Bombyx mori: one gene and its partners. The protein of the gene in region 2 purifies or fractionates together with the protein of the main gene of each other region. This does not show direct contact. Links are inferred from orthologs where the notes say so. Each region holds a gene or a part of one and is shown on either strand. Other genes may lie near its edges.

Region 1 (4,959 bases), on a different chromosome or scaffold from region 2:
CTGTAAAGCTTTGGCAATTGTTTCTTTAGGTTTCATATGTTGTAATATTTCTTTATAGTTATGTATCAAATCAAATTGTTGTTCTTGTTCATCTTCACTACTAGATTCATCACCAAGTCCTTTTTCATCGCTATGATGAATTTTATATTTATCCTCTGGTCTACCTTTTACTTTAACCCAGTCAATGTTATCAAGCCATCCATCACGAATTTCTTTTTCTTTTTTCCAATGGTAATGTCCTTGTGTATCAAAATGCCCTTCTTCAAGTTCTTCTTTCATGTTAAAAGGTGTTATTGTAATCTATAAAATAGTACTAATTAATGAAATTAATATTTTATTTGATAGTTATAAGTATTAATTAAGTTGTTAATATTAAATTAGCTGAATTATCCTCAAAAGCATTTTAAGTATTGTTTGGAAAAAGAAACATTTTTTAATTCTCACAACAATTTGAGTATTCTGATTAGGTTTTTGACTTATTCTACTCACTTCACCTTCCATTCCACCAGTTCCTTCCTCTTCACCTTCAATATCATTGGAGTTCATAACATTATTCTTCTCTTCTTCAGCACCACTATCTTCTTCGTCGGAATCCAAGGAATGTTTCTTGCCATCCTTCGTGGCCTTTTTTACTTCGTCTATTAATGCTTCGGAAGCGGGACGCTTTGACATTTTGGTAAAGTAACTAAAAGGAACAAATTTTAATTAAAAACATTAAAAAATATTTGGGTTTATCTAACAAAGACTTTAAACTATAGGCACATTCCTAAATTATCATTGAACACTAAGCAAAGTTTTACTCATCCTCACCCTAATAATATTTTGGGCGCCTTTTCTTGAATAGGTGAACTCAAATTGAGTGAATCAGATTCAACTAGGTTGGTACACGGTTGGTACCTCTTCTTAATTGTGATTGTGTGTCTGTTGCCGTGTGTTAGGTACGCTATCAATGAAATCAATGTTTTTATGTCTATCAAGGTATGGTCTCAAATCTCAATTATTAATTTTATTATGTGTATCAATGACTCGAATATTTAAGTGTATAATCTATGTCTATGACTACGATGTTTGGTTTTAGGACTTTTTGGCGGGAACGCGAGGGGTGAAGTTGTGTGATTTGTTTTATTTTGTCTATTTAGTGTTTCTTCGGGTTTAGATATGTAATAATGGTGGTTTATTAACTGTTTAATATGTGTGTAACTGTATTTTTCTTCTTCTTTACTTAGACATTTTTGTCCACTTTGAGATTTAATTGTTATATATCTGTGCAAAACCGACTTACTTATATTAAATTGCTTAGCTATTTCAACTAAAGACTTATTCCCAAATTCATAGTCTTCTATTGCTGTTTTTAATATTAAGGGATCATATCTCTTATAAAGCTTGCACTCTTTGATACATACACGCGAGGCATATCTAAAAATAGAAAACAATACGTAACTGATAATATAAATATAATTGCACTAATAATTAAATAAAAGTTTTAGACAAAAACATCATGAATAAATGAGATTCTTACCAACACGTTTAAAAAAGATTGTTATAACTACATAGACAACCCTACAATCCTGTACGTATTTATACTTAAGTCGTTCCCATTCAACTTATTGTCGTCCCAATTGACCTCCCTTTCATTGTTATTTGTAGCTCAGGTGACCCCATTAACCCCAAACATAACAATTTTAATATGTATTTTTAAATTATCAAAAAACATTAAAACCAATAACAATTGAGACTTACCGTTAATATATATGATGGCTCAAACACTAAATAAAGTTTTTATATCACAGTCGTCTTATATTATTATCAAATAATATATGCTGGCTTAACCATCAACTGGTGTTCGGTTGTAAAGGACCTAGGCCTACTTATTGACTCCAGCCTGAGTTGGCGAGCCCAGGTCATCTCCGTGTGTCAGTGAGTTACACTTACACTCCGTATGCTTTACCGCCTGAACAATATCCTTCCGCCCGAAACCAAGAGACAATGCTCGTTTAAACTTTGATCTTCCCCATGATCGACTATGGTGATGTGTGCTACTTTGACCTGAATGCAGATCTACTCAATAAACTTAACCGGCTTCTCAATAACTGCATTCGATTTATTTATAATCTTCGGAAATACGATCATGTATCTTCTCATCGCTCCCAACTCAAATTGCTCCCCATTCGACAACGCCGTAGCTTGCGTGCTCTCAGTACTCTTTACTCTTTGTTGCACTTCCCAAATCCACCTGAATACTTAGGGTTTGACTACAGCCAAAATCTTCGTTCATCTCACAATCTTCTTCTTCGCTGTTAGTTCGCAGGTAGTTCGGACTTTTTACATTCTTCCTTCACTATTCAATCTATTCTTCTATGGAATGCGCTCCCACTTAAAATAAGGTCGGCCAGAGTTTAAGACAAGGTTTCGAGTACTTAGAATCAATTAGATGACTCTGCTAAGAGTTAGCAGAGTCATCTAATTGATATTTATTTATATATACACATTTTTATATGTATATATTTATGTATATGTATTTATTTAACAAACAAACAACTGTCTGTACAAACTGTTTAAATAGCACTCGGGAGTTATTTTGCGAAAAAAAACTGTCACACTTTTGGATTAGAAAAAAATAGATGTTGCTTCAGCTGAAGCACTGTAGTGCGCTACCGAAGAATTACACAATCAACGTGAAAAAAGAGCAACCGGTTGGCGATGTATCGCATCCCGACCCGACAGCCTGGTTCTAGTCCAGCGGGGTATTCCGGGACTCCAGTCGCACTGTGTGGGTGGCCTGACGGGCTATCGTACCCAGACGGCTGACGGCTGTAGAGCATTCCGTCTCAAAGGCTCCGTCGACCGGACGTCCTCGGGGGAGCTGCGCTGTCTGTAGTGTTGACCGCGATAACCCCTTTACCTCACCCGGGTTCTGACCTGGAAGGGTATCAGACGATTGGGCGAGAGTGCAGGGGAGTTGTGTAGTGGGTATGGCCCTAAATTCTATCCTTTAGGCCCGCGGTACCGGCGAAGGCGGACTTTCGGCGCGGTATTGTGGGTTTCGTGGAGTCGTAGCGGTCAGTAAGCCCCCTCAACCGGGTAACCGTACGGATTCTACAGCGTTAAAAAAAAACAAAAAGAAGGCCCGCGGTTCACTCCCATACCCCATGCGCCCCTAGGGGCGGGGTATTCCTAGAAAGTTCGGCCCCCAGTCCAAAAAAAAAGATCAAGCACTTCAAACCGCATTTCGTCGACTTTCGCCAGGGAAACTGCTTAGCTGAGTGTTAAGCAACATACCTTGATAAAAAAGTCGTCGGGGCCTAAAGGATAAGACGTTCGGTGCATTCGTGTTGAGTGATGCATCGGTGTTCGAATCTCAGGTGGGTACCAATTTTTCTAATGAAATACATACTCAACTAATATTCTGGATTGACTTCCACGGTGAAGGAATAACTTATTTATTTATTTTATTTATTTATGTACACACAGAAAAAAAGACATAGTACAGAGTAATAGGAAAATTATGTACAAAGGCACTGCTTATTTCTTTAAGAAATCTCTTCCAGCAAACCTGCGAGAGGATAATGAGAATAATAATAAAAAGTGATAAGTGTGTGTAGAACAAATAATACATAACTAAAACAACAAATACAACATGAGAATTATAGTAATGCACTTACACATACCAAATATTGTTAAACTTGAGTACAAAATATTATAAGTCACAGTAACACTCGTATATACGAAGAGTATAGAACCATGATCACTCGGTTGATGAGAGATAAAATTGTTTGACCTTGTATTTAAAAACAGAAACAGACTTGCAAACTCGGATGTCAGCCGGCAACGAATTCCACAGTCTGACCGCGTGCACAGTAAAGGAGTGAGAATAGAAATTGGTTTTGTGAGAAGGGAATAACAAAACAGAACGTTGGTTGGACCTGCAGGGAGCATCAGGAGAACGAATGAAAGAGAATCGCTCACGTAAATATAAGGGAGAAGTGGGCTTATGTAGGATATTGAATAGGAGACATAATATTCGAGTATTCCTACGAAGGCGTATAGGGAGCCATTTAAGTTCTTTGCGAAAATGTGAAACATGATCGAATTTTCTGAGATTGTATATAAAACGGATACATAGATTTTGCATCCTCTCAAGCTTGTTTGAGAGCTCCTCAGTGGCATCCAAGTAGCAGGCATCGGCGTAATCAATTATGGGTAGAATGAGAGCTTGGACGAGAGATATTTTTGTATGCTGAGGTAAGAAGCCCTGCAGACATCTCAACGAGTGCAAGGCGAAGTGCACCTTCCTACTAATCTCAGCAACGTGAGAACTCCACGAAAGATGTCGATCCATACACCCAGGTTTTTAACTGAATCGGTTAGAGTTATTTGAGTCCCATCCAAATAAATTGGGGGGAGTATAGGATCGCTGAGTCTACTGCGCAATTGTTTACCCCCTATAATGATAGCCTGTGATTTTCCCGGATTAATGTGCAGACCGTAGGCTTTTGCCCATTCAGTGATAGACTTCAGATCACTGTTCATCGCAGCAATAGCCGATTCAACGTCAGGCTCTGAGAAGTGGCGATATAGCTGGAGATCGTCTGCGTAGAGGTGGAATTTAGAAGATATAAGCCTAGTGACAGAGTTTATAAACACAGAAAACAGAAGAGGAGAAAGAACACCACCCTGGGGAACGCCCGCACTGACGTTCTGCCAATCCGAGAAAGTCTCGTCAAGACGGACACATTGCGAGCGCCCCCGAAGGTAACTATCAAACCAGTTAATAGCAGACGAGGAGATATTGTTTGATTTGAGTATTTCGAGCAGAACATCGAAGTCAACAAAGTTAAAGGCGCTGCTGAAATCTAACAACACTAATAAAGTTAGTTGTTTGTTTTCCATGGCCCAGCGAATGTCATCGGTCACTTTTAGAAGAGCTGTAACCGTGCTGTGGCCCTTGCGAAAACCAGA
Region 2 (4,062 bases):
TTATTGTTTTTATTTCTCGAAATATATACGAATTTTAGTTAAAATTACATTCTTTTGATTCTAAAAGTGGATGTTTAAAATGTGTTAGAACTAAAGTAACTATAGACTTTATAACTTGCTGGTGACCATGATGGTAATTTACCTATTGCTTATTATTTTAGACTATAACTAGGATTGTCAAGCGAATATCATCTCTTCACGTCTCTTCTTTGTTACGACTGTCCCTGGCTTATGTTGAGCCTCAGGGTGGTTCATAAGTTCCGGTGGACACGTAGATACGGAACTTGCCAACAAAACCTGCTTCAGATCATAGAACAATGCGGAGTCTTCTTTTGTAACAAAGGACATAGCTTTACCAGTTTTTCCTGCACGACCGGTACGGCCGATACGATGAGTGTAGTCTTCAATAGTCTTCGCCATATCGTAATTAATGACCATACTGACATCTTTAATGTCAATACCACGACCTGCCACGTCTGTCGCCACGAGGATATCTTTAGCGCCCCCTTTGAGACTGGCAAGTGCAAAGTCACGTTGTTCTTGGCCTTTACCACCATGCAGCGTACAGGCATTGAAACCAAGTTTTTCAAGTCCCTTTGCAAGAACATCTGCACCTTTTTTCTGGTTAACAAAAATAATAATGGGTGGTTCGACACCACGCTGCAAAATCTCTGTAAGTTTTCTACGTTTTTCATTCTCGCCTATCATGTAGACTATTTGTTCAGTTCTGTCTACTGGTTTTCCTACAGATCCAATATATACAATAGCCGGTCTTCTGAGATAACTTCTAGCCAGCCGCTCTACAGCCGGAGGCATTGTTGCCGTAAACATCACAGTTTGTCGGTATTTCTTTTTTGTGTTATAATTGGCAAGCAATACTGAAGCATCTTCAGCTGCATCACTATCAGGTTTTATGTTCGATACAGGCATGTATTCCAGGATTTTTTGAACATCCGGTTCAAAACCCATATCAATCATCCGATCAGCTTCATCAAGAACAACATAGGTACAACGGTTTAGTACTAAATATCTGTTGTCTAAGACATCAATAAGACGACCGGGAGTGGCAATGACAATCTCACAGCCTAACCTCAGCTTAAAACCTTGTTCTTCACGAGATAAACCTCCAACAACCACTACTGATGTGATACCAAGAGGAATACCAAATTTATTAGTTTCTTCTTCGATTTGTTGAGCCAATTCACGTGTTGGAGCTAAAATTATAGCATAAGGTCCTTGGTCAGCATCTTCCATACGTTCACTCTTTGGCAGAGATTGAATCCATGTAAGTAATGGTATAAGGAATGCCAATGTTTTACCGGAACCAGTTTCAGCAACACCAATAATGTCACGGTTCTGTAATCCAATTGGAATAGCCTGCCTTTGAATAGGAGTTGGGCTCTTATATCCAACTTTGTTGATTATGTCCATAATGTCAGTATGCAAGGGAGCTTCCTTCCAAGAACGTATAGGGTTAGGAATTTTACCTCCTTTTAAGGTAATATTGTAGTCTTCCCTGAATATCCTCCAATCACGCTCTGTCATCTCATCCACATCTTTCTCAGACCAGTGTCTATCATCCCACTTTTGCTTGTCTTCCTTCTTCTTCACTTTCTTCAAGCGTAGTTTTTCTTGTTCTTTCTCTAACTCAGTTCTGCGCTTTTCTAAAAGATTCCCATAGAATTTGCTATGGTCTTTCTTTTGAGACTTGATATCTATACCAGCAATGTGTCCACGACCAAAGAATTGTACTTGATGTCTTTCTTTGTACAAAACATTATAATCATTTGATGTATCTTCTGACGCATCCCAGTCAAAAACAAATTTCCTGTCATTCAGCCGTCTTACTCTACGCTTTTTCTTTACTATACCTAAGTAACGAGCTTTAATAGCCTCTTCTTCTCTTTCTTTATCTTTTGTTTTAGATGTCTCTTCATTATCTTTTTTTGGTTCTCGACGATCTGAATAGGCTTTCCTCTCTTCATATTTCCTTTCCCGTTCCTCTCGACGTTCCTTTTCTCTATCTTTTTCACGTTCTTCTCTGTGCCTTTTATCTTCTTCCCGTCTTGACGGACCTGTTAAATCAATAGTGACTTGAGGCTTATCAGTATTAGCTCTTATAGCTTCTACTTCTTGACGCCGTTTCTCCAAAGCTATCTGTGCTCGTTGCTCTTTGGTAAGAAATACTGGCTTACTGCGGGCTTCTTCCTCAGCCTTTTTCTTAGCAAGTAGTTCTTCTAAGGACAAAGGCTCTTTTTTAATTGGTTTTTTATCTATGGATTCATCCTCTTTCTTCATGTCTGCAGTGTCTTCCTCCATTTCATCTTCTTTTTTTGATCTACTCTTTTCCTTGTCTTCGTAACGTCGATCTTTGTCTTTGCCGTCACGTTTCTTAGGGCTGCGCGAACGACCGCGTTCTTTACGTAGTGGACTCCTAGAACGATCGCGATCTTTTCTAGAAGGGCTTCGAGCTTTATCCGCATCTTTTTTAGGGCTTTTAGACCTGTCCCTGCGCTTTACTTTTTCACGATACGATTCGCGTTCATCGTAACGATCCCGATCTCTTCTATCTCGTGATCTTGACCTCCGCCGTTCAGGACTTCTGTCTCGGGCCATTTTTGGTTTATGGAACCACCGGTTTTTATTTTGTTAATTTCTTTATAGGTATTATACAGCAAATACAATAAAATTAAATTCGGTGTATTTTTCATGTACAAAATGTAGCAGTATGTGAACAACTTCAATGTCACATTTTTGTCAATTTTGACATTAACATAATTTATGAACTGTCAAATGGCCCTAAAAACCACTGAAGTAAAAAACCCATAGACCTATATAATAGAGACGCGACATATTGTTTTCCTCTATACGCACAATTGCTTAAATAAGTAGCACCCATTTTGATGGCACACACCTAAACATATTATATCTATCTCGTTCTTACTCAGCACTGTAACTCGCAGTAAAACAATATAACAGTATTTCAGTGCGTACATAGAATGAAATATGAATATACGTAAAAATCTAATGAGGCCGAAAATCCGACATGCTTAGCGCACCAAATGTCACTGTAAGTCAGCTCAGCCGTCTGTCTTGGGTTGTACATTATTTATTAACTTTGATATCGATTTAATATGATTGCTTATATAAAATTTCTTATTTTATCATGCTACCCCGCTTAAAACATACAAAAATAATAATTAAAAAATATTTTATAGGATCCCAAGAAAGTCGATGCCCCAAAAGTATTATCTATATATATTTAAATTCATTATGGAGCACTACTCCGAAAACTCTGACACCATTTTTCGGTCGGAATCTATTGTTCATGACACAAATCATAAATACCTCTTAATAAAATGTGTCATCAAAACATATTTAGACATTCTGTTTAGATATTTCGGGAAAAAGGTTACTGACAAAATCTCTCTTCGGAACTATTTAAGTAAAATTGTTTTATTCCGTAGCGAGTAAACAACTATTGTAAATTCGGTAAATTTGTAATAAATAAGTGTTTTTAGAGAGGAAGTCACAAGGAGGGTCGTTTTAAATTTGAATCACTCTCAAGTGAGAGTGATTCAAATGGTGCAGCGCACCTACCTTGAGGTATGTTGCGGTACTGTGTTACGGACTTTAGAGTCAGCAACACAATTAAAATAGGTTGTAATTGAGAGGTAACAGGTTACACAAAACAGCATAGCTAGCATGCTAACGTTTTATCGCCGACATAAAGCTTTTATACCTTTCCGGCATATACGCAAGTGCGAGCGAGATGGCAACATACGAAACGATGATAACATTTAGCATGCTAGAAATTGGCAGATGGCACTGTACTACGCCATATGTTTATGATTTGCCGTCACTGAGTTGTCAAACGACAAGTTTATAAAATCAGTGTAGCAACTTTTAAAAATCGTCATATTGTTTACTTGGCAAATTGAAGCACGAAATTGTCTTAGATTTCACACATCTAAATCACGTCATCTTTGCAAATAACAATATATATATAATACATACTTCCTATTAAAGTGTAAATTCTACAAAAAATTAATACTCAACAAT
Region 3 (4,953 bases), on a different chromosome or scaffold from region 2:
TGGTAGAACTCGCCAAGGTCATCTTTGAATTTACCATCATCTGTGAATGGATTAAAACCATAGTAGAACTCACACTTAAACAGCAAGTTTTAGTTAGTGATCGCGGTCGGAAGACAACTGTGAACACAATATTAATAAAAGCTATATGTACCTTGATGTTGATTTGTTAATGACTTTAATATAATACGTTAATTTATCAACGCAATAAAAAAGAATTTAAAGTTCCTAAGTGAAATTATTTATTTGTTGGGGCTTGACACTTGTAATTAATTCCACTACATAGACAGATACAGATCAATCTATTTAAAAGTTTGTAAGCAGTGGGTAATTTTGCTATAATATACCTATTAAATTTATCTTATGAAAATATTAACCTGAACAATTTGTGTAAAATAATGACTAAAAACATATAAAATGGCAAAAAATTTGAATTTTATTTTGTTTATTTATTGTTGGCAAAGATAACACATCAAATTCGTTATGCGTGATATAGTCTGTACATTAAATAAAATACAATATATTAACACAATAAAAAAAAAACATTACAAAAGCGATAAAACTACATTACAAACCAGCAGGTTTCTCATTGACTTCAAGTGGTTTAAGTCCAAGTTTAGCTCGTAGACGATTGGTCTCTTCAATGGACAAGCTCTCTTGTGCTCCACCACTCTGTGTTTGTACTGGAGACTTGGTTTTCTCACGTTCATACTCAACACTCTTGTCCCTATAAAAAGTAATAAAAATAGTTCGTAATGTAATTTCAAGATAGATAAGCTAACAAACCTACCCAGTGGAATTATAATTATAATAATACTTATGTTACCCATCAAATTGTGTATGATTAGATAGATACAGAAAAGAAGATGTTACTAATCATTGCAAGGTCATAAATAAGTACAAGAGTTCAAGAAGTAGTCACTTCAGTCAATGTTCAGTTTAGTTTATTACCCTTCAGATTCATTTTTCTCTGGCCGATGCAAAGCACGCATGCGGCGATCCCGATCTTCACTGTCTCCTCGAGAATGGTTAGTCTCGTCATCCTTCAGCTGATGCGAGTCGACAGGCACTTCTTGAACTGTAACAAACAGATATCTGGTGTTTAATCCTAATTTATAAATCTCAATTTCTTATTGTGGACAGATTATAATGTAACAACATTCGTTTTGTATTATTTCAGCGTAAAAATCATTTCGTGGTGGCAGATATAAGTGTATACAAACAGATAAAAGTCTGTTAATTATATTGTTTTGTATCTATGTATGTATGTATGTTTTTTATTTATTTATCTATGTTTTGTGTATAATATATATATATATATATATATACTATCTGTAGACTATACTATACTATGTGTATACTATATTGTATTAATTCTACTGTGTTGAAGTAAAACTTTACTTCTAATGTTGTAGCTGTAATCAATGTTCAGCTGATTTTAAACACATTAGTGATGTGTAGGCTGGCTGGTTTGCCTTTATAAATTAATGCAACCTTTTGATTAAGAAGTAAAGAGGATGTGAATTTGAGTTGGTCATAACAAATAGAAAAAAGAAACAAACATAGATATAGCGACAGTAAAAATAAACAATAAAACTGCAGTATGAAGTACTAAGCACAGAACAGAATCAAAAATTCTATTCCAATGAATACTGCAGGACAATAAGGACAATTCCTAGCTAAAAATAATTACTTGTTGTTTTAGTGAATTTCTATTTCAACAACCCACAAACCAAGAAGAAAGCCTGCAACCAGACTCAGTGTAAAAGAGAATGTGGATTTCACAGGTCACACAATCTTTAATTAAATACACTACTTACAGAGAATAAAAATATAACATTTTAATGGTTTTTTTAGTGGCACCATGTTCATTCACTGGGTTCATCATTTATTTTTGTTTTAAAGAATAGTCCTTGCAAAACTTAATTAGTAGTAAAGTACAATGGCCATTTTCCTACATTTCAGTTGATAGTTGTAATGTTGTATTTGGACAGACAAGTTTAGCTGATTTGATATGATTTACTACAGTCCGCAGGTGCCACAGTGTAACTGCGACATAAGACATGATGTTGAATCTTAGCTGTGCTGTGATAAAAGCATACTTCAAAGCTAGACTAGGTTTTTTTTTTAAATTGTTGTTATTGTTAATATTAAGTATGTGCTGGTGGTTGTCATTGTTTTCAAAGATTTCCGATAAATGTTTGTCTTATTTTACAGGCTCTTTTATTGTTTGTTTCTAGAGGAAGTTTCATTTAGAATGAATTGATACACATTTTGTGATTTATGGCACTATAGAATAAATAATTATACGTAGAAGTATGATATTGGTACTTTACAACATAATTATTGGTGATAAATTGTTAGTACATTGTAGTTCATTTTGTTTCCTGTATTATTTTCTGCAGCAAAAACAACTTTACTCAAATCAGGAACCTTCCATCGTTTTATTAAATACCTACCTCTTAATGACGGAGCGAGGGACGCGGTGGCTGAGCTCCAGTGCCACCGGGTCTGAAATAACGAGCAGACAGTGTGCCATTATCTTGTCATAATTAATAACAGCCAGTTCTGTTGATGACCTATGCAATTCATTATTTAAATCAAACAAACGGTTTTATTTGGATATACAAGTTAGGATGTGAATCCGTATTTCATAGTTTTGAAACGTGGTTTTTTGGCACATAAGATCATCATCAAAGGCTGGCGTTTGTTATCTTTATCGAAAGTGTTGTTACTGACCGTCAGGGGAGCGCTCTCGCTTGCGATCTTTATGTTTCCTATGCCTTTTTCGTTCACGTTCTTCACCTTCGAGTGGCGAACGGGACCTACTCTTATGCTTCTTTTTCTTTGCTTCTTTCTTATGCTTTTTTGAACCCATTCTTGTTTCTTAAATAGTCTCTTATAACAAAATTATGGGTACAAAATAAAAACTATAAAATATTAAAAAATCGTATTCTCGACAAGTGTTCTGTTTGTTTCAATAATCACAGACAATTATTATTAAAGATACTACGTAGTGAAATAGTGCGCCATTTTATTTTGCAAAATATAGTCTGGATATATTTGTGGTCCTATTTCTATTCGTGTCTTACAAATGAACAAACTTATAAAGCTATTTCTATTATGCAGTTAAACACGTTTCATAGGGAACAAAAAACAGACCTGGAACAAGAAATGCCAGTGACAGCATTGACAGATATATAGTAGTAGTTTTACTTTTTCAACTGGAAAGGCAAAGATGTCATACCATACCGCCTGATCTTTTATAAATTTATTTAATGTTTTATAAGAAAAATGATAGAAGTGAAATGAAATGAAGTTGATTAATATGAAACATGGCATGAAATGAAATGAGATAAGATGAGATGATATGGGATGAAATATAATCTCAGTGAAATGGTGGTCATTTACTAAGACTTTTTCAGTAGACTTTTTGGAGGATCCCGAGAAGTTACGTCCAGCGGCTTTGTTTTATTTTCTTACATTTGTGCATTTTCACAAATACTAAACAGTAAATAAACCACCGTTATTACGCATTTAAACCTGAAGAAACACTAAATAGACAAAATTAAACAAATCACATAACTTCACTCCTCGCGCTCCCGCCAATAACCAGATATTTGTAATAAACTAAACATTTCAAAAACAGATAGATACAATAGGTACCGAATTTGTGGTAGCATTAATTTAGTTTTTCCAATTATTTTTAGTATAAGGCTTGAATTAAGCCTTCTCGGAGTTTAAAACCTGTGAAGCTACCGACCAAATTAAGTTAATTACATTAAGTTGTTACTGGAGCCGATAGACATGAACCATGTAAAAAATGAGTTCTAATTCCCAGTGTTCACAGTATAATGAATGAACGATGAGAAACGCTTATCTGCTTCACAGCAGAAATGGGCAGGGCGGTGGTAAATGTGGCGGTGGCGGATGAAATTGCTCAGTAGGCCGACGGTCCTGTTGCTATTATTCGGAACTTGTATTTAGGAAAGCTTGTCTTGAAAATGTTAGTGAGATACAGGTATCTCTCAATTCAGTTTTTATAAGCATTAGGTACCTGTTTACTTAAGAAGGTTTAGTATATAGAAGATTACAAGTCCTTTTTCCTAATACAATACCCTATTTTAGACAGCTTTGTGGCTTCGAGACCATCGGTTGTGTCGTATGAGGTCGAGCGTTGTCGTGGAGGAGCAGCGGGGACGTGCGATTGACAGAGTCTGGCCGGGGATTTGCGAGCTTCTTTTTTTTATTATTGCTTAGATGTGTGGACGAGCTCACAACCCACCTGGTGTTAAGTGGTTACTGGAGCCCATAGACATCCACAACGTAAATGCGCCACCAACCTTGAGAATAAGTTCCCCTACCCTTCAAACCGAAACGCATTACTGCTTCACGGCAGAAATAGGCAGAGTGGTGGTACCCACCCGCACGGACTCACAAGAGGTCCTACCACCAGTAATTACGCAAATTATAGTTTCATTTTTTATTACACGATGTTATTCCTTCACCGTGGAAGTTAATCGTGAACATTTGTTGAGTACGTATTTCATTAGAAAAATTGGTACCCGCCTGAGATTCGAACACCGGTGCATCGCTCAACACAAATGCATCGGACGTCTTATCCGTTAGGCCACGACGACTTCTACTTGGGCTTCTCCACCATTATGTCCAGCTCACAGTGCACATTAATAGTGCTGGTGTCATTTGATAAGGAGCTGTGGTATATTGTGACCATGACTTTTTTAGGGGTACGCTTTCATTTGGGACATTGTCTATGTGCTGAAACAGGGTCTAAGCAACCACTTACGATTAACAATAAAAATCCAGTTTTCATCATAAGTGATAAAATCGGGAGAGTGAAAACAAAATTCCTTTGTTTCTGTGTCTGTTAAGCAACACAAGCTACACCTTAACGTTTAACGTGCGAACAAATTAGCTTGGATACAGTTCCAGAGT
Region 4 (3,475 bases), on a different chromosome or scaffold from region 2:
ATACATAGTTGTCTATTATAAAAACAGACAGTATAACAAACAGACAGTAATAACAGTAATTTTATTATAGTTTCATTTTTGAAAGTTCCATGAAGTTCTTCCCTTATTGTGAAGACCTTTGCATATATTCAGTTCTAATTTTATTACCACATTGAACACCAGACTAGAAATCATGTTTAGTCCAGTGGAATGGTGGACACCCTGTAACAACCATTTACTTAGGTCTATGACGACACTGTCTGCCATTTGAAATATCTCAGAAAACAATACTTAGTCACTGTTTCCATACCTCACTCATTACTTTTGAGTAATTTCTTGAGAATATTTTTGAAAAAACACTACATTTTTTTACCCTAGGGGAAAGTATGCTGTGGACTCATAGTGTCTGTCATGAAACCAACATGTTAACAAAATATTGGACTGGACTGCACAGCTTAATCCCATGATGTACATCAGATCTAATTTGCACAAATTAATAAGGGGCTATGAAAAAAATCATATTAAAAACACACTTTTACACTTTGGTTTATTATAGAAATTATAAACTTATTGACAGGTTTGTGGACTTCTTGACCATTGTAATTTTGCCATGTTTCTTTAAAAATGTTAAAGCATCTATATTTTACAAAATTGTTAGTTACTACTTGCACCAAAAGTAAGTATCTTTTTTTCAATTTTGGTATGTTCAGCCACTAATATGAAGTTATTTTATGCTAATATTAACAACAATACTGGTGAGACTCTTTTAATGCATCATTATAATAACTGATCGTTTTTAGCTTTATCTTACAATATGTGAACTTGATACAATTTCAATATATTAAAATATCGAGTTTGTTTATTTATTACATATAGTTGCAGAATCATAGAACTAACACAGTTTCCAATTTTGTAAAAGTATTATTACAGTTTAAGGAATGAACCAGTAAAGCTATTCATTTCCTGAATATTTTATTCATTAATACTTAAACTAATTACTGCATTACTTCCCTGCAGCTGTAGCAAGAGGATTCCTTAGTACTAAGATCACAGAATCACCGCGGAGGAACATTTTGGAGATGAATTTGTCCTTGTTTACAGCTTTGCCCTGAAAATAAAACCAGAAGTTATACGTATTTTGAATTTGAAGAGTTTTAATGAAATGAGCTAACACAGAATGTTTCATATCCACATAATTGTCATCTTGGGAATTTCCAGTGGTTTGTATTTTATCTCCGCTAATATTGGCCTAAAATACGCGACATCATGTCTTATTGTGTACTTTTCAAGTTGGAGCTGTAGCACTTTTATACATGAGCGCTTGGGAGTGGTTCCTATTTCCAATACATAACCTCAAATTTCTGAATCAATTGAACTGAAATACAGTAACATCTGTTTACCTTCTTTCCTTTGCCAGTTCTCGGTACCTCAGTCCACATTTCCTTAACATTCTCCAATACCATGTTACAATGCCGGTCGAAAGCCTTCACTCTACCCAGGAGTTTCTTATTGTTACGGCAATTTATCAGAACTTGTGTGTTGTTCTTTACTGACTGCGTGAGCACGGAAAGAGGTCCGGTACTAAACTCTTCCTCTTCGATTTTAGATAGCTCTTCTAGGGTCATTTCAGAGCGTGGCTTAGTTGTTGACGTCCTATAATAAGGTTAACATTAGAGTTATTGTTGACCATTACCGGCTAAGCAGATAATATGTTAAATATATTGTTAAAACTACGTAAATCATATTAATACTTACATTTTGTATTATTTTATGGGCTTGTGAACTGAGAAATTGAGTGAAAAAGATTACAATTACAGCAAAACTATCGTACACACGCTAAGTCGACGCTTTATTTTGTCTATGGTGACTCTGCTTTTTAATTCAACAATTTTTTGTAAGGAATTTTGTGACCTGGTAACTAAGACTTGTAAGTCATGTCTTATTTTAATTTATATTCTTAATTTTATGAAAAATGATAATATGGAGTGAAATGAAAATGATTAATTTGGGACATTAATCGACTGGGATGAAATAAAATGAAATGAGATGATATGGGATGAAATATAATATAATCTCAGTAAAATGGTGGTCATTTACTGAGATCTTTTCAGTGGACTTTTTGGAGGATCCCGAGAAGTTACATCCAGCGGCTTTGTTTCATTTTCCCACATTTGTACACTTTCACAGATAATACACAGTTAATAAACCACCGTTATTACACATTTCAACCTGAAGAAACACTAAATAAATAGACAAAATAAAACAAATCACACAACTTCACTCCTCGCGTTCCCGCCAAAAAGTATTATTTCAACAAACAATTATGGCCACTAAATGTCAGTTTTTAACTCGACACTGACATTGATGAAATCGTAAAAAGACGGTGGTAATACTGAAATTAAAGTTAACGAAGAGTTTCGAAAGGAGACTGCACGTCAAAATGGATCGTGAAACCCTTTCAAGATTTATTGAAAGTTATAAGTTCCACATTTTTGTGGAATGTCTCAAGCGCAGACTATATGAATAAACCAAAAATAATAAACGTATTACAATTTTTAGGCCCATTTTAGGGGAAGCTGCAAGGATTGATAGCGTGCGTAAAAAATGATATTAATTATTTGAGTATACTCTGCACGTTTAAAAAAATCATCCAAAACCTCTTGCTATTTTTTGCCTCTCTTCTGCTGCTGCTGACAACATCAGAAGGACTCCCATTTTTGGCGTTTTGATAAAGCAGCTGGCATTTTAACTTAAAACCCTCATTTAATTCGTTCGATTTATTCTGTTCGCGCTTGATACATCCAGCACTGCGGTCTTGAGCTGACGTACAGCCGTGACGGATCGTGAATAAAGCGCTAAATGCATCGTGCATCGTGCATGGCCTTGGCGGGACGTACAGCAAGATGGATCGTGAATAAGGCGCTTAAGGAAATTTTAAAATACAAAGTCATGATCATATAATCAGCAATTTTGTATATGCCATGCTTATTTTATGTTAACGAACTTCATATTCAATTAAATTTCTTTATTTCATTACCGTATTAAAGAAAAGGAAAATAAATGAAAGCGATTTCAGTATATTTTATTGTTTAAGGAACTCTTAAAATCGATTTTTGTCTGTTTGTCAGTGCGTTCGAGCCGGTAAGTCTCCACAGCAGCTGAACCATTAGGAGATGTTCTCTTATCCGAACGCGACGCGGCAACGCAAAGCCACCGTCGCTCGAAACATGTCTTGTGAGATCCCCCGGATTCACTCTCCGTGCTTTAGGCCTCTCAATCACCGGCTACCCTCCTTATCGAACTCGTCGATCACTAGCAAATTCACCCATAGACGGAGATCACCGAGTTTCTCGTTGGGTCTTCACAGTGGGTCGCGATTCCAACCCATGTGCTTAGTGCGAGTTTTTTAACGTTCTCGATAAAGTAAAGTAAACTCAAATTTGTAGGTACGTATGCGGTTGAAAACGTTTGCCTAAGTTAGGTCATATTTGTATGG
Region 5 (3,088 bases), on a different chromosome or scaffold from region 2:
TTTTAGACTATTTTTAATTTAAATTTATTTTCTATTTTTTTGGTTCGATTTTCTATAAAAGCGTATTTTGTTAGTTTTTTTTACCATTATTTATTTTTCATTTTTTAGTTGAATTTCAATTTTTTCAATATATATTTTTAAATATTGAATTTGCATCGGTCCTTAATAAGTATACCAAATTTCGAGTTAATCCGACGTTTTGAAGGGGGTCAAAATCATGTTTTTTTTATTTTTTTATTGCGTAGATGGACGCGATCACAGCCCACCTGGTGTCAAGTGGTTACTGGAGCCCATAGACATCCATAACGTAAATGCGCTACCCACCTTGAGACATGAGTTCTAAGGTCTCAGTATAGTTACAACGGCTGCCCCACCCTTCAAGCCGAATCGCATTACTGCTTCACGGCAGAAATAGGCAGGGTGGTCGTACCCGTGCGGACTAACAAGAGGTCCTACCACCAGTAAGTTCAAAGATTCCGTTACATGCTAACATACATAAAACTAAACGTATTTAAGGATTTAAAGTCTTTAAGAAGGAACTGGCAGGTTTTTAGCGACGAGAAGCAGTATCTGATCGGTGCTGAAACACCAGTTAACGATGTCCTTAGAAACCTTGCACCAGTACTCGCCGTGGTGCGGCTCGGCGGCCCGACAACGCGACTTCACGTCCTCCTGTTGCTGTTCGTTGCCGTGAAGTAACTCGAATTTATAGAAATACGCCCAAGCGTCCCCCAAGTCGGGATCGATTTTTACCTGAGATCATAAAATTTCGTTGGAAACAATAAAGAAAAACAATAGTAATCCCCCCATATATAACTACATAATATTAAGTAAACATAACTACTAATTATATTAAGCAAGTGATAAAAAAACACACACACATTAATAGATTTTAAGTTATGTAAATTTACTGGAAATAAAAAGGCTTTATTATTATTATTTATATGTGTATTAAGCATTGCCTCGCCTGGGAAGACGGCAGGACACACTCCGGTGAGGTGGGCAACGATCGGCCGGAGCTTTAGGGACTGTTGGGCGAGAAACCGGCGAGCTATACGGGCATTGTCCAGCAAGACTGCTTTTATTATTATTATTATTATTAATCCCCATACAAGCAACCCACTGAGTTTCTCGTAGGATCTTCTCAGTGAATCGCGATTTCGACTCGGTGGTAGATTCTGTGAAGCACGGGTCTTGCTAGAACTGGTGTTAGCAAGTTCTCTCAGGTTGAGCCCGTGAGCTCACCTACCTACCCGTCTGGGTGTAACTGTGTGGCAGGCAGCGTCTTGGCTCTGTCCCTGGCATTACTGACGTCCATGAGCGACGGTAACCACTTACCATCGGGTGGGCCGTATGCTCGTCTGCATACAAAGACAATCAAAAAAATAAAAAATAAAGCTGGGTTAGCTAGCTACCTAGCTATCTAGGCCACCAGCAAAAAGGTAATGAAAAAAAAAATGGCGATGATATTTTTTTTCTGTTGTATTAATTAATTGTACACGAAACAGAGGGTCTATTCAAACATTTCTAAGATTAAATTTACGAAGGATACAAATGATTAAAAGTCACGATTTCTAACATCTGGCGTTTTACTATAATACATAAATTCGCGGCGGCACTTAACAACCAAGTACCCTTTTAGTAGCGTTAAACAATTTAATTTATTATTTCATACAACTATAATTTTTATTTTAATCGCGTTGGTATTTTATCTTTCGCTTTTTTTTTAATCATAATTATGTACTTATTACGAGTAGAATACCGGTGCAATGTAATCGAGATTAAGATTTTAGGCAATCAAAACTTTTCACTTTTTCGTTTCACCCACGAAATTAATTCTCAGAATTAGACCCTTATTATTATTATAGGTGGTGGTCTATGGGCTGTTTTTTGAAGAATTAGTAGGTGGGCACTTAGGACGTTTGGCTTATTAGAGACCAAAAGCAGACACCTTTTGTATTTTATTATGTTTTTCTAAGATCGTATTCCCCCAAAAGGTCTCATAAAACAAAAAAAGCAGAGCATTGGGATTTACGTAACTATGTCGTGCGAGAGAGACAGCTATATATTTCTGCTCTGCTTTAACTAGTAACGAACACATACATCGAGACAATCCGTTTAAAAAATAAGGAATTTTAGACGCTTTTTTTTAAAACCTATTGAGAATCAGTTAGCGGAGAACCATTCGTTTTTCAATAGTATCTTCTGTTGCTTATAAAATAAATAAATAAAATATGGCCTTACTGTATAATTCCGTACGCAAAAAGGTTAAACAAAGGAAAGTGAAAGTGTATAACGTTGCAAGGAAGTCAATTGCGAACGCGTCATGTTTTACTAAGCGTTGCATATTTAAGGCTATTTATTATAAAGATCACGTGTTAAAAAAACGCGTGTTTTTTTTTTTTTGTATTGTTGCTTTCCAAATTTTAACGATAAAACAGTCGACGGAGGAAAACTAGAAGTTTATTATAAATAAGGAAATATTCGAATTCGAATTCCTAGCTAGACGGCGAACAGAGTAATGAATAATGACGTAAATGTTCAAGTGCACTTTGCCCAGTCAATATGTTAAGGATCGTTGACAAATAATCTGGTTTATCTATAAATAGAATGAATTCATTCACGAGAGACACATATCAAATTCGGATGCGCATAATTTACAAAAAGGGACGTTCAAAAATTTTTTTTTAACATTGCTTGTACTCTACTCGTCTGTAGAGAGCTAATTGAGCTCTATCATTATTTAGGTCTAAGAGCTTCGGTGACCGCTCACTATCGGGTGAATAACGTACGAAGGTTTTTTTTTATTGCTTAGATGGGTAGACGAGCTCACAGCCCACCCGGTGTTAAGTGGTTACTGGAGGCGCCTCCGACCTTGAGATATGAGTTCTAAGGTTTCAGTATAGTTACAACGGCTGCCTCACCCTTCAAACCGAAACGCATTACTGCTTCACGGCAGAAATAGGCGGGGCAGTGATACCTACCCGCGCGGACTCACAAAAGGTCCTACCACCAGTAATTACGCAAATTACAATTTTGCGGGTTTGATTTTTTATTACACGATGTTATTCCTTCACCGTGGAAGTCA
Region 6 (4,204 bases), on a different chromosome or scaffold from region 2:
TTACTGGTGGTAGGACCTCTTGTAAGTCCCGCGCGGGTAGGTACTACCAAATAAATAGGCTAGCGTGGTGTGGACATGTGAGGCATGGAGAGAAGATGCATGTGACTAGGAGATGTATGGAAATGGTAGTGCAACGTAGAGGGGGAAGAGGTCGACCGAAGAAGACATGGATGGAGTGTGTGAATGACGATATGAGAGAGAGAGGAAACAGTGTTGAGATGACGGCTGATAGAAGAGAATGGAATAGGAAAATTCGCTGTGCCAACCCCACCTAGGGGGATAAGATGGAGACAAAGAAGAAGAATTAGTTAACAATTAATACATTTTGCGTTTGCATTGATGCGTTTCCGATCCGGTGGTAGATTCTGCGAAGCACGGCTCTTGCTGGGGTTCGTGTTAGCAACGTCGTCAGGTTTGAGCTCCGTGAGCTCACCTACTAGTTTAAAAAAAAAAAAAAAATGCATGCCCGCTGAGTTTCTTGCCAGTTCTTCTCAAGACGGGGACTACTTTTTATGAATTGGCGGTAGATTTGATTTGATTAAAGTTACGCTGAAATAGCCTCTCAAGGCTATCTATCAGCTTAGGTAAAAAAAAAGAAGAAAAATATCGGCAAAGACCCTCACCAGCTCGAAGTGATCAGCATCTTGCTGTCCTGGCTGAACCTGCAGAAGCTCAGCGGCCTCGTGTCCCCGATCTGATGAAGAGCACCACAGATTTATGTGCTGAGCTGCCCCGCACGCTTAGGGCCGCCACGAGGTGGCCACGTGCTCAGGTTTGGAACGAGACAGCCCTGACACGAGAACCTTGTGACTGCGACATCACGTGGGCCTAGCCGGTAAAAACTAAGACGTTCCGTTTTTGCAGGATATCCGTTGCAGCACCATGGTTCCTAAGGAATGGCGGTAGGACCTCTTGTGAGTCCGCGCGGGTAGGTACCACCACCTTGCCTATTTCTGCCGTGAAGCAGTAATGCGTTTCGCTAATTTACTAGGATACGTAACATCACAGGGTCATAGTCGGCCATTTTGATCCTAGTTCTATATTACCCACCCCACTGGCCCCCACCACTGCAACTTCTGAGGGTCCACAGCGACGACCGTCCAACGAAGTGCGTTCACTTGGGAGGGAGACAGTGGGGGGGGGTGTAGCAGGAACTTAGGTACCCTCTATCCCCCACGACCTGGGCCTCACCTGGCTGCAGTAAATGCTAAAGGCAGACGCCTTCCGTTGCGACTCCTGCTTAGCGGCGGCGCGCACACTGCCAGCCAACTTGAGTTCCTCGCGGGCTTTGTTTAGCCTGTAACAATAATCGAGTAACTTACACGAGTCCATAGACATGTCGCGCCCCCCAGTGGTGGTGGATTTACACTAGGGGCGATCGGGGAAAGTGCCCAGGGTGGTAATTTTTGAAAGTGAAAAAAATTTTTTTTTCTTGTCGAGATTGCTCAATATAATTAATTAATAATTTTCTTTTTTATTGATAATTCAAGAAATTCAATTCACTCATGAATAGAATTATAACTTTGGCACTTTTGGTAAAAATTAATAATCAAAATTGATTTAATCAATTTATTTCCTTGAGATTTTTTAATAATAATCGATCTTCTATTTTCTGTAATTAAAGAAATTTAATTAGTTTTTTTTTTATGTAATATATTCTAAGGAAAGAAGACGGAAGTGGGCGTGGCCTGCTGACGTAATACAGCAGCGACTTCAGACTGGTCGGAGTTGAAGAGGGGAGTTGAGGACACCACTAACATATTGCCTCGTTCACGGCCTCTTTCTGATCTCAGCACCAGGGATAGACGGACGTTGTACATTCGCGTGTCAACTTAGTTACCCACATTTTGTCATTAGTATTTAAAATCAATAATTGTTGAAAATTGTATTTTGTATCGTTCTAATTATATTTTTTTAATATTTTGAGTCGTGATTTCTAATTATATTATTATTATTAGTCACCCTTTAGTGCAAAATTTAAGATTGTTAGAAAAAAAAACAAAAATATTTATTTACATTTTTGGAATATATGACATAAAATATGATAAAGTTTCTGCAATAAATTAGATATTTTAATTTTTTTAAATAAAATATATTAACTATAAGTTTAAGTAAAATTCCAGTATTAGGGCGGATTTTTTTTCCGATAACCAGGAGCGCGGCATTAAGTTTAAATCCGGCCCTGCGCACCCCCCATCATAATTTAAGACACCAGAATGAATCCACAATATTTCTATATATATCGAGTGGTGTAAGGCTCTTTAGTTTAAGAGACATTTATCTTTGTAATCAAAGGTCCGTTTTATATTTCGAATCAGCATCAACATTTCGATATTTTTAATTGAACTAGCGGTCACCCAGTAGTCGAAATTCGACTATAATTAATTGAATTTATAAGTTTGTATACTATTATGATTGTATTTTATACTTCTATAATCACAAATTTCGCCAAGACTACACTATAAAAAATATTAATAAAGACAAACAATATTTAATCTCAATTTGACAACAGACGTCAAGAACAAAAGTTTGACAATAAATAGTATGCATGCGTGTGTGCGTCAAATACATGGTATGTAGGGTATGTAATGTTTTCTTTTATGCAGTATTTAAAAAAAATATTAGCATTGTGCACTCCTTCTCTAAATTCTCTATAAGTGTGAGAAATTTCATGCTCCTCCATCCCCAAATTTTTCGTAAAAAGGGATACAAAGTTTTTGCTTCACGTATTAATATATAGATTAAGTTTACTCCATTCGAATAGCTGAAGAAGTTTGTTTTGTTAAAATATTATTTTGGCAAATTTTTAAAACTTTAAATAGATCTCCTGTAATATTGCAAAAATGTCGCCTGAACCAAACAGCCTTTTACCCTTCGTTACCTAACCTTAGAGGGGACAGCAAGGAGGTTCCGGAAGTAATGAAAATGATGACACAGCCAAGATATCACAGTCGGGTAGAGTCGAATTAATTGAAACTGACCTTTTTTTGGCGTTAGGCAGGGAGTACCTGGCTATCCAAATCCTCGCTTGCCTCAAGGTCGGGGGACCTTCGTGGTACCAGGTACCTTCTCTACCTCTGTCTCTTTCCAGGCGTGCTTCTTCCTCTTCTAGCTTCTTATTGATAGCATCTTCGCCGAGACTGAAAATAAAAATGAAATAATTAAATTCGTGTAATAAAAATAAAACCCGCAAAATTATAATTTGCGTAATTACTGGTGGTAGGACCTCTTGTGAGTCCGCGCGGGTAGGTACCACCGCCCTGCCTATTTCTGTCGTGAAGCAGTAAAGCGTTTCGGTTTGAAGGGCGGGGCAGCCGTTGTAACTATACTGAGACCTTAGAACTTATATCTCAAGGTGGGTGGCGACATTTACGTTGTGGATGTCTATGGGCTCCAGTAAACACTTAACACCAGGTGGGCTGTGAGCTCGTCCACCCATCTAAGCAATAAAAAAATATAAAGCCAAATGAAGACTAGAAAAGCTTTGTTAAATCTTTAAAATTCAACAATTAATTCATTTTTATATTTATCAATTTGTTTTAGTATTACACTTTATTACCAAATGCTGATCACCATGATATGGTGAATAGGAATTTATTCACAATTCAACATCAGGAAATTGCGTCTTTTTTGCTTGCGATCAGCAGAGACCTCCTGAGCACTAACCCAGCTGCCCCAGAAAACCAGTCAGTTGCTTCAGATTACCCATGACACCCCCATTATACCATTACAGTCCAGAAACTCCATTAGCAAATCGAGATAAACAAATTATAAAAGGGCTCACATATATATATCACACTTGACTTACTAGCTTAACAGATCCCTTAATCTGACTCTCCTCTCGGCCGGTCCCTCTCCGAACAGGCATACAGGCTCACCCAACTGCCGTAAGCTTCTCCTTACCTGGGTACAAAAGACACGGGTACACAATACAATATAATCATCAGCATACCTTGATTGGATTTAAAAAAATGCATTTTTGCTATTTTTCATGGGGAAAGCAACGCGACCTCCCATCACGGACCTAAAAATAAAAAGGCAAAATCACATCTCTAAAGTTGGTGTACTGTTACATATGCCCCTCAATAATCTCTATATATAAAAATGAATTGCTGTTCGTTAGTCTTGCTAAAACTCGAGAACGGCTGTACCGATTTGGCTAATTTTGGTCTTGAATTACTTGTGGAGGTCCAGAGAAGGTTTA
Region 7 (4,833 bases), on a different chromosome or scaffold from region 2:
AATCGGCGTTGTGGCGGTAGATCAAAAGAATGATGGCCCATGATTGTGTGAGCGTCCACACCATCGCCGATTAGTCAGGATGTAGTTGTCTCGAATGTGTGTCAATTGTGTCCACTTTAAAACTATGGTTGCGTGGACCTTGTTTTGGTCCGATTGATAACCACCACCCACCACCTTATCTTCTTTCATCTTGCATTGCTGAAGTCCATGGGCGACTCCGTCTGTCTACAAGAGGGATTTAAGAAAAAAAAGTTTTCACGATTCTTTTTTCGCGCACATTAACTAAATGACTATATAGACTATATAGAACTAAAAATATTGCCGCAGCCGCGATCTCCTCGATTTCCATCATCGATACCTAGACGTCTTAACATATCAGTAGACAGTCAGTAAATAAACGTTCACGATTGTGTGGAGAGTTGCCCCATCATGGCGGCGATGATGGACGATTGTTTGTTGGCCTATCATGGCCGATTGTGAAGAGGAGCCATTAAATATAATCTATTGAGTTCCATCGTCGAGTTTCACTACGACCGGCCTCTCGTCTTCATCGTCAGCGTCTAGACCAGTGAAATCCCATTGCAATTTGTCGGTCAGGTTATCTTTGAAGCGTTCAATCATCGTCAAAAGTCTGCCGTCGACTTTGCTTACGTAAGCCGTGCGGAAAAACTCACGGAGTTTCTTGTATACTAAATTTTTATTCATCACTATATCGGCTAAGAAATCTTCGGGCATCTCTTCGATTTGCACCTCAATAGTCCTAATGAAGTGAAAGAAAACACTTCTGTATTTGTGTATGGCCTCGTCACACGAACATATGAGTATGACGAGGCTCTTCCAGTGCTCAAAAGCCTCTAGGGAGTGCCCAATCAAAAAGCACAAATATGCGAATTGCAGTTCTCCTATGATGTGTAGAGGTCTGAAAAATAAAACACGTATATAGAATTCTAGATTTTGGCTTTTGTGCATTTAATCATGTCAAGAGTCGAGACTTGACTTTAGCTTCCTGATAACTTCGGCACTGAACAATGCTTAAAATATCCATCATAGACATTCAACTGTATATGTAATCAACATATGAATGTAGTATGTAGTCAACAAAATTTTATATTAAGATACCCTCAAATTTCTCTTAAAATACTAACAGTTAATAAAAATAGATACTTACTCATTATGCTGTGCTATCATGAGCTCTAATGAGTATGACTGATCTAAGTAATGTTTCGTGATCTCCTCTGGTGTTGCATCCGGTGGATATTTATCTTGAGGTATTTCTGTGAATCTCATAGCAGCTCCTGTAAAGATTCACATTTTAGAATTCTTTTATTTTTTTTTATATTTTTTATTGCTTACATGGGTGGACAGACGACAGGCTCACGGCCCACATGGTGTTAAGTGGTTACTGGAGCACATAGGCATATACAACATAAATGCCGCCACCCACCTTGAGATATAAGTTCTAAGGTATAGTCAAACCGAAACACATTACTGCTTCACGGCAGAAATATGCAGGCTGGTGATAACCTATCCATGCAGCCTCACAGGTCCTACAATCAGTAATTAATTAGGCGTGTAGTTTTATTTTAGTAGATATATAGGGGAAAAATATTATTTACATTTATCTTTGTTTCATTAATTTACCTGGAACTGGTTTCAAATCTGGTAACAATGACTTTTCTTTCTCTTCCCTTGTGATTCTTTTAGCTCTCTTAGCACTTGAGTGTCCGGCAATCTGTTCTTCACTGAAATCCTCTTTAGTGGGAGATTTTTCATTCTCCTGACTTATTGAACTAGATGAAGACTTGACTCCTCTTGGTCTTTCTGCATCAGTCATCGATAAAAGCTCAACTGATGCTCTTATCATTCCACTTTCTGGTGCCAATTTTGCTGCTAGTTCAGCTGACAATAGAAATTAAACTTAGTACAGATTATTGATATAAGATTCTGGAATAACACAATATTTTAGTTTCTTGTATGAATTGTTTTTTCTGATACAAGCCTAAGTTTACGGGGCTCAAACCAGGAGTGTTGCTAACACTGCCTCTAGCAATAGCAGTGCTTCGCAGAATCTACCACCGTATCGGAAACGCAACCCCCTGAGAAGATCCGGTGAGAAACTCAGTAGACTGTGTCTATGGGTTAATTTTACTCATTAAGCCCTTCATCACAAGCGACGGGTTCGGCGAGGACAGTGACCAGTCTCAATATGCTCCACTATGCCAATATGACCAGGCTCATAATGTGAACTACCACCAACTTCAACAAGACTAAGTTCATTCAAGATTTGTAGGGCAAGTATTTCTTTAATTGAAGACACCAACCAGTGATCTGTGAAGACAGTAACTTCCACTTCTGCCATATTTCATATGGATATGGAGCAAGATGTCGGTCCAAATTAAATAAATTATCTTTCAAACGTTGGATGCTCTCATCACTGATCTCTTCCTTGCTCAAATCTTCAGTTTTTTTGTCCCACATTTTCACAAGAAATTCTTTTTTGTGAAAGTAATGCATGAAGCCAGATCTGGAATTTAATCAAGAAAAGTAATTTATTTAGGTATGCAAGTAACAATAATATTGATATCAGTCTCATATAAGTTCAATAACAATACACGAAGAAACTTAATAAGCTGTATACATATATTTTGTGCTTCGAATATGTAAATTCTGAGTGTAAATCTGATATCGAATTACCATATTAAAATTAAGTGATAAGATTCCAAAAACAACCTCCAAACTTGAATTCCTTGTATAGTACTAGGATTGTTTTTTTAAAGTATATATAAAACGCACTTACCTAGGTGCAATATCGCCAGTACCTTTACTGACAGCAGAGTAATGAACATAATGTAAGCCTGGAGGAATCATTTTAACGCCACGAAAATCTTCCTCCGTGTTCCAGCACTGCATATCGATGCCAAACTGGGTTTCTGAAGGGACTCTCAAGAATACAAACGTGCCCCCTTCCACTAGCAGCTTTTTCGCTGTTTCTTGATCCATATCCAACTATGCTCCCGAAACAATGAAATATGAATTAATGGTATGATAAAAATACATACAATCAATCAATCAATGTGTTTACATTCGTGAGTGTCAAACGTCAATGTCAAAATCTCGACGCGTGCCGATTTGAATGTTTCTGAACGTGAAAGGTAGGTACAATGCAGACTGAAGTGAATAGATTTTTTAATAATTTTCTTAGGTTTGAAATAATGTTTTTGTTCTCAACTATGTAAAACAATGTTTTAAACATTAAAAGCACCATAACCCAATACGATTGTATTTAACAGTAACTAAGTGTCTGTCTGTTATCGAACTAACCCCTGTATAATATATATTGTGTGCGTCTTATTTGTTTTAGGTAAATCAACAGAGATCCTGTCATCAAATATTCTTAGCTACTCACTTAATTCTTAGTGAATATCTGTGACCTTGCTCGTTCACGAAGCCCGCTATAGAAAGCAGAGTATTAAATACACTTGACATTGGCGAAATCTAAAAGGAAACGCCATAAGCCTAAGAGATAGATAGATAGATAGATAACTAAGTGATGTGTCCTTCACTTGTTCTATTTGTTTATTTTTTCAGCATGGCTACCTACGACTATCTTTATAACTCAATTCATTTGAAAAACTAAGTTTATAAATATATCATGTTTAATTTTCGGCATATTATTATTAAGTTAATTAATTTGTTATTTTAAATCTGTCTGCTATCTTAGGATTTGTTTTTCTACATGAGCACAGAATCACGCTTTTTATAAAGTAATTTCTCTAAAACATAAGACAGGAGGGTAGGTACATTAATTTATATTTCTGTAACGCTTAACGGAGCTACTCATAATAGAACAGAGAATAAGTCAGCAGAGCGTATATGAAAAACTTCGACGAAACTCAAATTTGATGAAATATATTGATCGTACGGACTTCTGAGACTCCCACCTCACCACTCGAATCTTAAAACGGAAGCGCATCTCAAAGCGTGCCCGCGTCGGGAGAACACGCGGTGAGATCTAATCGTGGTGCTGGGGAGGGACATCTCCTTGCGACTGTCGTTGATCTTATGTTAAAGGACAAGAGTTCGTGCGAGGCTTTGCGAACTGATTCTGGTGTTCCATGAGGCTGAGGAGTGCGAAAGGGAGTGGGATCTCTCTTCAGGTCCTCAGCGAAGAAGGCGGAGTGGGCGGCGCGGGCGCGAAGCTTCCGTTCATCTCCCGTAGGGGCCGTCAGGTACAGAGTCCAACACAACCCGTTCTGTTCCCCCCTCAATATTAAGAAACCAGGTCAACGGGATGAGCACGATAGGTGATAGATAATCTAGATTAAGGCGAAGACCCAATTAGAACCCTGTAATCAATGCGAATGCTTTCGAACATAGTATATAAGTATACTGGTATGTTTAATCTTGTTATGATAATTAAGATTTTAAAATTATATTCATAGTTAATCCCTTTAGTAGTAATAATATATGACAAGGCACTATATTTTACAGGAATTCAGTGATTAAAACTCAGAGGAAAGACCATAATGCAAAACCTTATGGTATTTTTTATTCCATCATCTTAATTTTTTATAAAAAAGTCTGGTGTGGTTCGGATCGGACGATGTTCAAGTTAACTGAGAAATAAGAAATTTGTTTTGTCTTATGCAGAATTTGAGATAAGAACACATCCGAGAAAAGTTTAATTATATACTGAATTTTATAAGACAAAAAAAAATATGTATTGTTATTACCTATTACATTTCTGTTACGTCTCTAATATAGTTTGACTTAATCAAGTAGGTATATTTTTTCACATACGTACATAGTCTCGTCCTTTAAAGTAATGGAATA

Evidence for each region.
Region 1: the proteins of probable ATP-dependent RNA helicase DDX23 (region 2) and CD2 antigen cytoplasmic tail-binding protein 2 homolog purify together in Homo sapiens (affinity purification with mass spectrometry; 6 studies listed by BioGRID and IntAct, counting the BioPlex papers as one, with this or other methods). This does not show direct contact. The link is inferred for Bombyx mori from reciprocal best matches to the Homo sapiens genes DDX23 and CD2BP2.
Region 3: the proteins of probable ATP-dependent RNA helicase DDX23 (region 2) and U4/U6.U5 tri-snRNP-associated protein 1 purify together in Homo sapiens (affinity purification with mass spectrometry; 3 studies listed by BioGRID and IntAct, counting the BioPlex papers as one, with this or other methods). This does not show direct contact. The link is inferred for Bombyx mori from reciprocal best matches to the Homo sapiens genes DDX23 and SART1.
Region 4: the proteins of probable ATP-dependent RNA helicase DDX23 (region 2) and small nuclear ribonucleoprotein sm d2 purify together in Homo sapiens (affinity purification with mass spectrometry; 3 studies listed by BioGRID and IntAct, counting the BioPlex papers as one, with this or other methods). This does not show direct contact. The link is inferred for Bombyx mori from reciprocal best matches to the Homo sapiens genes DDX23 and SNRPD2.
Region 5: the proteins of probable ATP-dependent RNA helicase DDX23 (region 2) and pre-mRNA-processing factor 6 purify together in Homo sapiens (affinity purification with mass spectrometry; 3 studies listed by BioGRID and IntAct, counting the BioPlex papers as one, with this or other methods). This does not show direct contact. The link is inferred for Bombyx mori from reciprocal best matches to the Homo sapiens genes DDX23 and PRPF6.
Region 6: the proteins of probable ATP-dependent RNA helicase DDX23 (region 2) and U4/U6 small nuclear ribonucleoprotein Prp4 purify together in Homo sapiens (affinity purification with mass spectrometry; 4 studies listed by BioGRID and IntAct, counting the BioPlex papers as one, with this or other methods). This does not show direct contact. The link is inferred for Bombyx mori from reciprocal best matches to the Homo sapiens genes DDX23 and PRPF4.
Region 7: the proteins of probable ATP-dependent RNA helicase DDX23 (region 2) and protein AAR2 homolog purify together in Homo sapiens (affinity purification with mass spectrometry; 3 studies listed by BioGRID and IntAct, counting the BioPlex papers as one, with this or other methods). This does not show direct contact. The link is inferred for Bombyx mori from reciprocal best matches to the Homo sapiens genes DDX23 and AAR2.

The regions. Positions count from the first base shown.
Region 1 is NC_085111.1:10,749,536-10,754,494, forward strand, and holds the start of CD2 antigen cytoplasmic tail-binding protein 2 homolog, read right to left. Parts: upstream 3,193-4,959; 5' UTR 1,741-3,192; intron 1,417-1,740; 5' UTR 1,283-1,416; intron 1,057-1,282; exon of another isoform or gene 811-1,056; intron 686-810; 5' UTR 673-685; coding exon 490-672; intron 301-489; coding exon 1-300. UniProt on the Homo sapiens protein: Involved in pre-mRNA splicing as component of the U5 snRNP complex that is involved in spliceosome assembly.
Region 2 is NC_085121.1:15,456,154-15,460,215, reverse strand, and holds the start of probable ATP-dependent RNA helicase DDX23, read right to left. Parts: upstream 2,801-4,062; 5' UTR 2,617-2,800; coding exon 178-2,616; 3' UTR 1-177. UniProt on the Homo sapiens protein: Involved in pre-mRNA splicing and its phosphorylated form (by SRPK2) is required for spliceosomal B complex formation.
Region 3 is NC_085118.1:17,264,429-17,269,381, reverse strand, and holds the start of U4/U6.U5 tri-snRNP-associated protein 1, read right to left. Parts: upstream 3,203-4,953; 5' UTR 2,876-3,202; coding exon 2,737-2,875; intron 2,509-2,736; exon of another isoform or gene 2,457-2,508; intron 1,076-2,456; coding exon 949-1,075; intron 725-948; coding exon 573-724; intron 41-572; coding exon 1-40. UniProt on the Homo sapiens protein: Plays a role in mRNA splicing as a component of the U4/U6-U5 tri-snRNP, one of the building blocks of the spliceosome. May also bind to DNA.
Region 4 is NC_085132.1:3,761,867-3,765,341, forward strand, and holds small nuclear ribonucleoprotein sm d2, read right to left. Parts: upstream 1,813-3,475; 5' UTR 1,737-1,812; coding exon 1,735-1,736; intron 1,633-1,734; coding exon 1,380-1,632; intron 1,088-1,379; coding exon 983-1,087; 3' UTR 732-982; downstream 1-731. UniProt on the Homo sapiens protein: Plays a role in pre-mRNA splicing as a core component of the spliceosomal U1, U2, U4 and U5 small nuclear ribonucleoproteins (snRNPs), the building blocks of the spliceosome.
Region 5 is NC_085109.1:9,953,440-9,956,527, reverse strand, and holds part of pre-mRNA-processing factor 6, read right to left. Parts: intron 754-3,088; coding exon 529-753; 3' UTR 1-528. UniProt on the Homo sapiens protein: Involved in pre-mRNA splicing as component of the U4/U6-U5 tri-snRNP complex, one of the building blocks of the spliceosome.
Region 6 is NC_085130.1:18,539,865-18,544,068, forward strand, and holds part of U4/U6 small nuclear ribonucleoprotein Prp4, read right to left. Parts: intron 3,904-4,204; coding exon 3,809-3,903; intron 3,141-3,808; coding exon 2,982-3,140; intron 1,927-2,981; exon of another isoform or gene 1,298-1,926; coding exon 1,192-1,297; exon of another isoform or gene 695-1,191; coding exon 624-694; exon of another isoform or gene 1-623. UniProt on the Homo sapiens protein: Plays a role in pre-mRNA splicing as component of the U4/U6-U5 tri-snRNP complex that is involved in spliceosome assembly, and as component of the precatalytic spliceosome (spliceosome B complex).
Region 7 is NC_085115.1:3,919,174-3,924,006, forward strand, and holds the start of protein AAR2 homolog, read right to left. Parts: upstream 3,104-4,833; 5' UTR 3,001-3,103; coding exon 2,798-3,000; intron 2,525-2,797; coding exon 2,322-2,524; intron 1,900-2,321; coding exon 1,642-1,899; intron 1,296-1,641; coding exon 1,169-1,295; intron 920-1,168; coding exon 502-919; 3' UTR 1-501. UniProt on the Homo sapiens protein: Component of the U5 snRNP complex that is required for spliceosome assembly and for pre-mRNA splicing.